2 linked regions of the Rattus norvegicus genome follow. The protein of the gene in region 2 interacts with the protein of the main gene of each other region in a pairwise test. Links are inferred from orthologs where the notes say so. Each region holds a gene or a part of one and is shown on either strand. Other genes may lie near its edges. The genes, in order: Ubtd1 and Mid1.

Evidence for each region.
Region 1: the proteins of Mid1 (region 2) and Ubtd1 interact in binary tests that used the Homo sapiens proteins (3 or more experiments, as listed by UniProt). The two-hybrid records come from large-scale screens. The link is inferred for Rattus norvegicus from reciprocal best matches to the Homo sapiens genes MID1 and UBTD1.

What each region holds. Positions count from the first base shown.
Region 1 is NC_086019.1:250,792,132-250,795,808, reverse strand, and holds the end of Ubtd1 (ubiquitin domain-containing protein 1), read right to left. Parts: intron 3,254-3,677; coding exon 3,026-3,253; intron 1,768-3,025; coding exon 1,382-1,767; 3' UTR 713-1,381; downstream 1-712. UniProt on the Homo sapiens protein: May be involved in the regulation of cellular senescence through a positive feedback loop with TP53. Is a TP53 downstream target gene that increases the stability of TP53 protein by promoting the ubiquitination and degradation of MDM2.
Region 2 is NC_086039.1:27,715,912-27,719,731, forward strand, and holds part of Mid1 (E3 ubiquitin-protein ligase Midline-1), read right to left. Parts: intron 1,187-3,820; coding exon 1,038-1,186; intron 1-1,037. UniProt on the Homo sapiens protein: Has E3 ubiquitin ligase activity towards IGBP1, promoting its monoubiquitination, which results in deprotection of the catalytic subunit of protein phosphatase PP2A, and its subsequent degradation by polyubiquitination.

The sequences.
Region 1 (3,677 bases), on a different chromosome or scaffold from region 2:
TCATCTTCCTAGGGTTCTCAGCAGAACTTAGTGTTTTAAGAGTCTAGGAAGTCAGAGTTCAGAGCTAGGCAATGCCAGACTGCCTTGGGCAGAGATGACCACAGAATACACAGAGCAAAGGCAGACCTGTACTTGAGCTCTTCACCCGGGACTTGCAAGCCTGGAGCCCTGGGTTGTCGTGACCTAGGTTTAACCTGCCAGTGGCCTACAAATGCTGTGCGCTTCACCTGCAAGCGACGCGCCTGCAGAGACCCCTCTGGTGAGGTGCACAGTTCCGCAGAAGAAACACGAGGGATCAGCCCCGTCTGCCTCTGCCTCTTGTCATCCCATGCTCTGACACAGCATGGACACTGCATCTCCAGGATCCCACAAGGGCTGTGTGGGGTGGCTGCCACAGAGCTTATGCTGCCTTCTGTGGATGCTCCTTCACTCTTTCATATCTGCCCCCCACCCCCACCCCAGTGCCCCACACACTTAACTCTCCCAGCAACTGCTGCAGGAGGCAGCAGCAGAGGCCGTCTCTATAAAGAGCAAAGTGCATTTGGAGGAGAAGTGGCTTTCCAGAACCCGCAGGAACACATCGAGGTTGGATGAGATCAGGGCCCACAGGAGGAGCATCAGGTTGGATGCTCTGCTGTGCCTGTCTGTAGCCAAACCAGCAGAAGCTCCGGGCTCCACCATGCTGTGAAATGTGAAGTCATGTGCTAGGCAAAAGAGGAGCAAAGGCTTTATTGATAAAATGCAGATGTGTGTGTACACAGGGCCCAGCTGGGGCCATGGCCAGGCTTCCGACCCACCCTGCCTGGGTTACAGTTGGAGATAGCCCTGTGCAAACCTCTGCCATAAAGCCTATCTGGCCACCTGCCTCATCTCTGCAGATTGTGCTGGGTGCAGGAAGAGACAGAGAGGCCCACCTCAAGCTCCTCAAGCCCTGGGGCACACTGGGCTCCCTCCCCATCCAGGGGACTGGTACTGTGCCCAGGGCAGAGTTATGGTGAGGGATAAAGGGGGAGACAGCAATTGCTTCCGACCCTGAGCAGAAAACTGGAGTGAGCACAGTGGTGGCACCAGATGACAGATCTGGGTTCCAGGTCTGCAGGACGGCCCCCATGGTTCCAACCTGTGGCGGAGAGTGCCACGTGCCTTTTCTCCGACAAGGTTGGCAAGGCCTGTGTGTGGCAGGCAGCACTGCTCCCTGGGTGCTGAGCACTGGTTGATCCAGTGCCCTGGAAGGCCAGTCCCTTCCCAGCTCACTGAGAGCCATACGGCAGGGTGGCGGGAGGCGACCCTGAAGACAGCAGCACTGGAAGGCAGCAACAGGCCTGGGCCCCACAGCCTGCAGGGGACCTCCATGGCCTCTTTCCCCAGGAGTCAGATGCCTTCAGTCCTGGGGTGGTGGGGGCTGGTTAATGATGACCTGGATGACAAAGTCTTTTTGAATCTTGGTCTCCTGGAGCCTTGTGCGGTCTGTGAGCAGCTTCCCAGAGAAGAACCATCTCTGCCAGGATGGCTCAATGCCCTCCTGGCTGTGCAGCTGCCTCTTGAGCTGCCCCACTGTGTCAGGCAGGCTGGCACTGAGCCTCACGTCCTTGCCTGTGGAGAGGCGCACTTTCAGTGGGAATTCACGGCGCACACTAGGGGTGGGCTCAGGAGGCTCCAGGCTCTCCTCCTCTGTGTGCTCCAGCAGCAGGTTCACAGGCGGTGACAGGCAATAGATGGGCAGTTGATAGCGATTGCCCAGCTCGTCATAGCATTCACAAAGAGTTCCTGTGGGAAAGGCAGGGAGATCAGTGTGGTCTGGGGACCCGATGTCACACACTGAATGCTGTCCCACCCTGCCCCCCAAAATTCCCATGTTGAGGCATATTTGGAAGGAATAAGATTACACAAGTAAATGACAAGGGCCCAATCTGATAGAACCAGCTTCCTTACAAGGAAAAGCCCCAGAGACCCTGCCCAGTCCTGCGTGCCTACCACGCAAACCAGCAAAACAGCAAGAAGCACCACCAGGACTAAACAGCTGACCCTTTGATCTTGGACTTTCCAGTCTCTTGAATTGTGAGACAAATTTCTAATGTTTAAGGAACCCTCCCGCCTGTGGTCTCTGTTACAGCAGTGTGAGCAGGTAAACTTGCCCACTACAGATAGCACACAGTCCCCAGTCCTACTCCACAGTCAGGACTCTGGGGCTAACTGCCTAGTCATCAGGTGCCAGCTCCCTCAGCCATGACACTACCTTTCACGTGTTTATTCCGCATTCTGGCTGAGTACAGGTGCTAGGTGTGGGTTAGGCCCCAGTTTGCTACTGGTGTAATATAGTGCGGATGGGACAGTTACTTAGTCTCCAGCATCCTCCTGAGGCTGGTACTGGACAGGTGGTATTGTGCACATCGTGATTGATCCATTGTGATTGCAAGGGGCTCAGGCTCCACCCCAAGACTTGCCCTGCTCTGGGACACACGGCAAGGAAAGGTCACAAGCTGAGAAAGGAACACGGTCAAGACCCAGGTCTGTGACTGAAGGTCTGCTGTTACTTTCCCTTCACAGCTAGTGAGTGTGCTAGGGGCAGAAACGCGGAAATGCAGCAGAAGGCTCCAGATCAGGGCCGCAAATGCTGTCTGAGGCCCTGAGTGTCTCCAGCAAGCCTTTAGCTCTTTATTAGTTTTATTGGTGCCTTTCTGTCTTCTCATTAGGAAAAGGAGGGTCCTGTCCGTCATCCCTCCTACTCTTCTTCTATCCACCTGACAGTCTCATGTAATCTAGGCTGGCCTTAAACTTGAACTTCAGACTCCCGTGTCTACCTCTCATAATCACAGACAGGTGTTACTATGCTTAGTTTTGTGTCGTGTTTTTTTGTTCATGCCATAAAGAGTTGTTTAAATGAACAAGACAGCCACACATACCCATACTCCATCATCTCCACTAAACAGAAGCTTCTCACATGTGACTGGCTTTCCACCTCTGTACTAATGAAACCCCCACCCCCAGACCAGGTCAGAATAGAGCCCAGGCCCTGCCTGCTCACCATGAGGCAGGGTGATGCTGGCTCCATCCAGGATGGCCTGAGCCAGCTCATGGTCGTTGGCTTCAGCAGCATAGGCAGCAGCCTTGAGGGCATCCCAGATCTCCTTGCGACCCTCGAAGGCAGGCGCTGTGTCCCAGAACTCATCTCGCTTGCTCCGCAGCTGCCCATCAGTCATGGGGTAGTCACTCTTCCACTTGAGCCGCTCCTTCTTCAAGGGCTCATTGCGACCTGGGGCAAGACAGACGCAGATGCTCAGCATCTCCAAAGCCACTTAAGCCATAACCGACCCTCTCTCCAGCCTGGCCTATCAGGGACTTCACTGCACCAGGCCCTATGTATTTAGGGCACCAGGACACTTTCTGAATAGCAGGGGAGAGTGTGGAAACCAAGTTAGGAATATGAAGTACACACTCCAGGCAAGGATGCTCTTGTCCCTTGTATGTATTTACTCTTATTTTATATGTGTGCACCACGTCCACGCCTAGTGGCTAAGGAAAGCAGTAGAGGAGGGTGTTAAATCTCTAGGAACTGGAGTAATGGATGGCTGTGAGCTGCCACAGGGGAGGTGAAACTAAACCTGGGTCATCTATAAGAGGAGCAGGTTCTTAACCACTAACCACTCACTAACCACTTAACCATCTCTCTAGCCCCG
Region 2 (3,820 bases):
TGGCAAACAGCCACACCTATTTGCTCCCTGTGGCTAACATGGAGCTACCCAGGCAGCAGTGAATAACTGTGATAAATCCCTTATAGTCTGCAAAGCTGAAAATAATTTACTTTCTGAAACAGTACGGTGGTGTCTGCTTTAGGATAAAGGCTAGGATGAATGAGTTTTCTGGGGCCTTTTTATGACACAATTCTGTAAAGGTGTGCATAAAAAGGAACTAGAATAAATGAAAAGTCAAAGTGTTTGGTGATGTTTTGTGATGTCATTGATCTAGAAAGGGCTGTATACAGGCCAGCCTTCTCTTGGGATCCGCTGGATTCATTATATGGGTCTATGACCAGGGAAATGAGTAATTTCTATACTAAGCATGTCGGTGGACCAAGAGAAGACTAACCTTCACCTATCTTAATGCTGAAGTCACTATACCAGTAACAGCATTTCTAATTTTCCTCCCCAGAAACAGAAGGTATTCTAAACTAAGGCAGTGGGAGCTTGATCATTTGACCTTTCTCTCCCACATTAATCAGTCTTGGCCTTTTCTGGTGATGTCAACATTTTCAGTCAAGTAAAAACAGGACTAACAGAAACAACACCGTGCAGCAGTTGTTTTCTTTAAAAAAGTGAACCATGCAGTGGAAAACATGTTTCCCTTTTATGTATTTTGACTGCACCTTCATTCTTTGATAATAAGGACGTGATAAGATCAAATTTGAGAATTACAACAAATGATGTTTCTGTACCACCACCCCACCCCCAGCACTCCTCCACACACAAAATGGTTGATTTTAGTCTAACTGGTGAACCTTTTGATAAAAAGACCCTGAACTATAGGCTGTTATGGAAAGGATTTTTTTTTTGTTTTGTTTTGTTTTGTTTTGCTTTTGTCACTTAACTGGAGCAAAATAGCAAAAGCTTCTATTCTCTCTGGTGATCAATCTCAAACAGAAAAGGAGTCAGTTTGAGAGCAAGGCCAACCAGTCAAACCCAGACATAAGCAATCAGCAGTCTGAAAACTTCCCAACTGTCCCTGCACCCACCTCTCAGTGATGTTCTTTGCTGTCTGTAGAAAACGGGCATGGTCATTCTCCTTCAGTGAGTGTTCTGCTTGGGAAATGAGTGATGCAGACCTTTCAATGCATTGTTTACAGTTTGCAATCTGCTGAGCTAATTTGCGGAGCCTCATCACCTAGAAGAAAAGAAGCATGGTAGGTTACACTTGAGAGATGGCTCAGGGATGGACCCTTCAGAGTTGCACAGTCTCTTATGTTTAAGAAGAGAGAGATTGAAATCTGGAAGACACAATTACAGAACTTATACTTTCTGTCCTTGAAGAAACATTAATAATTTGTTTTATGAGGAAGCATTGCATTGCTAATTACTTCTCTGTTGATGGGGGGGAGGTGTTGTTCAGTGGCAAGTGACAAAGGGTCACTAAACCTCTTCCCTCAACTATCCTACATAATTACTTCAGGACCTTAGGGAACCCTGGAACTTACTCCATCTCAGGTTTTCAGTATGCCCTTAGGAAAATAAAGCATTTCTATAGGTATAAATTTGAGTCTTAAGTTAAAAAAAGTTTCATAAAACATTCTTTGTAATCCATGTAATAAAGTTGTGACATGAAAGTATTAGATATTCCTATTTTCCATACTGCCTAAAACTTGTGTATTAAATTAATAGAAGGGGAACATTTTTCCCATTGATTAATATTTTTCTTATTGAACTGATGAGAGAAAGCCAAAAAAAGCACAGCTGGGCCATTTCCTCTCACTGTAAACGTCATTTCCAGTCACTTTGTGCTCACTTGATAAGTTAACTGTTTTGATAAGCATTTCCCATTTGGGATAAAACACATAGTTGTTTTGCAATCTCCATTCTAGGTCTTAATTCTGTGTTGCTTGAAAAAAAAACCCTCCAACATAATTATCCATAACCTCTCACAGGCCAAGATAAGTCCACGGTAAGCCACTTGACTGAGGCTCTGGTGTTTGAAATGTGCTATAAGCTGAAGCCCTCCGGCCAGGAGCCAAGTTAAAATTAGACCAGTAATTGGAATCACCTCGTGCCTACTGGCCCCACCTACACAAGAGGGGACAGGTTTTGGCTGGTTTTCTGATAATTCCGGAATGGAAAATAGCCTTGGGTGAAAGGGTAGGGAGGACGCCTGGTTAATCTGTCTTACGGACAAGGCAGGCTCAAACTCCCTCCAGAATTCCTGCTAACTTAAAGGAATTTTTGCTTTCTCCAAGTCATCACTATCATCCCAGGACAACTCTAATCTTGAAGCAAAGGAAGGAAGGAAGGAGATGTCAGATCTGTAGAATTCCAGGGAATGTCCAATTCCACATGTGTACTATGGCAAACAAAGGAAACTACAGCTGAATTGTGAGGTGCTGAGCCCATGATTTTAGGCAAGGTTGAAAGAATCTATGAAAATAATGAGTCAGAATGAAATGTCCAAACTTGGCAGCTAAGAGTATGTGATCTCAAGCATGGTAAAAATACATCGTTCATTATAATGATAGTTCTTGTCCATATCAGGATATGGACAAAAAATAATGCCATTTTACACCAAATAGAACAGAGCTTCTGGCAACATTATATAGATAGTCAAGGTCAAGACAGACCTGCAGTCTAATTCAGGATGTTAGAACACAGCTATTAGAAACTGCCAGAGGAAGGGAAAATTCCAGAAGGGAAAATAAATTAACAGTGTCTACAATAAACCAAATGTATAGAATATTTAATCATATAACTAAAGAATAATTTAAATTGCATGGCCAAGTTGAAGGCATTTGGTATAATTCTCACAAAAGAAAATGAGGTCAAAATTTCTTTTGGAGTCATTTCATGCCATCTCTTATCCTTTGAATATATAAAGTAGAGACCACACATAGGACAAATGTAACAATGACTACTCTTCAACTTCATATTTTTCTGTTTTCTCTATGAGGATATTGGAAGTTAAAGATGATATATAAGAACAAGAAAACAAAACCCCAAACTGCATATATCGATATAAAGGAAATTGAGAGTGTCCTGTGAAACTACCAGTGTTCTAAAGAGAACTTCCATATAGGACATACTTTTAATTATAGGCCAGTTTACAGTGGCATCAGAGATTCTCATACACTGTATGCAAAAGAATCAGCTGGGGAGCTTTCAAAGGAAAACTTTAGATGTCTGGGCACATCCTCCAATATTCTAGTTAATGAGCTATAATTGGCAGAGCAACACTAATTTGCATTTTAACGAGCAATGAATGATTTTAAATCTCCAGGTGATGAATCACTAGTATGGTCAGGACTAGCATTTAAAATACCAATCTAACTTTAATCTTTGAATCCATGGATATCTGTGCTGCTTGAATGTCACCCAGACTCTTTTGTCCCTCCTTACATTTATGGTCTTCTCCAGGCAGAGGCCAAAACTCAGTTGCCCAATTTCTTCTGTAGCCATTTTCTGTTGCATAATTGTCTATGAGTTTACCTCCAAAACTTATTTATTGCATTCTGAGCTATGAGTTTCTTCTTTGAGTCCTTTTTGTCTGTGATTTCTTTATTTCTGAACTGTTTCTTTGCAAGCCTGTGTCCTCTTCTGCAAAACTAATCTCACTGGAAATAAGATAATGCTGCTGATTTTGTTGGCTGTAGTTTTAGAAACTGAAGATTTCTTTGTTTGCTTTGGAATTGAGCTTAGCATTTCAGTTTTAAAGAAAAGGAATCTGAAGATAGTTTCTTTCTCTCCTTGGTCTACTCTAACGGTTTTATAGTCACCGTCAACTAACCAGGCCCTTAGGCTCAGCACTCTGGAATCCTGT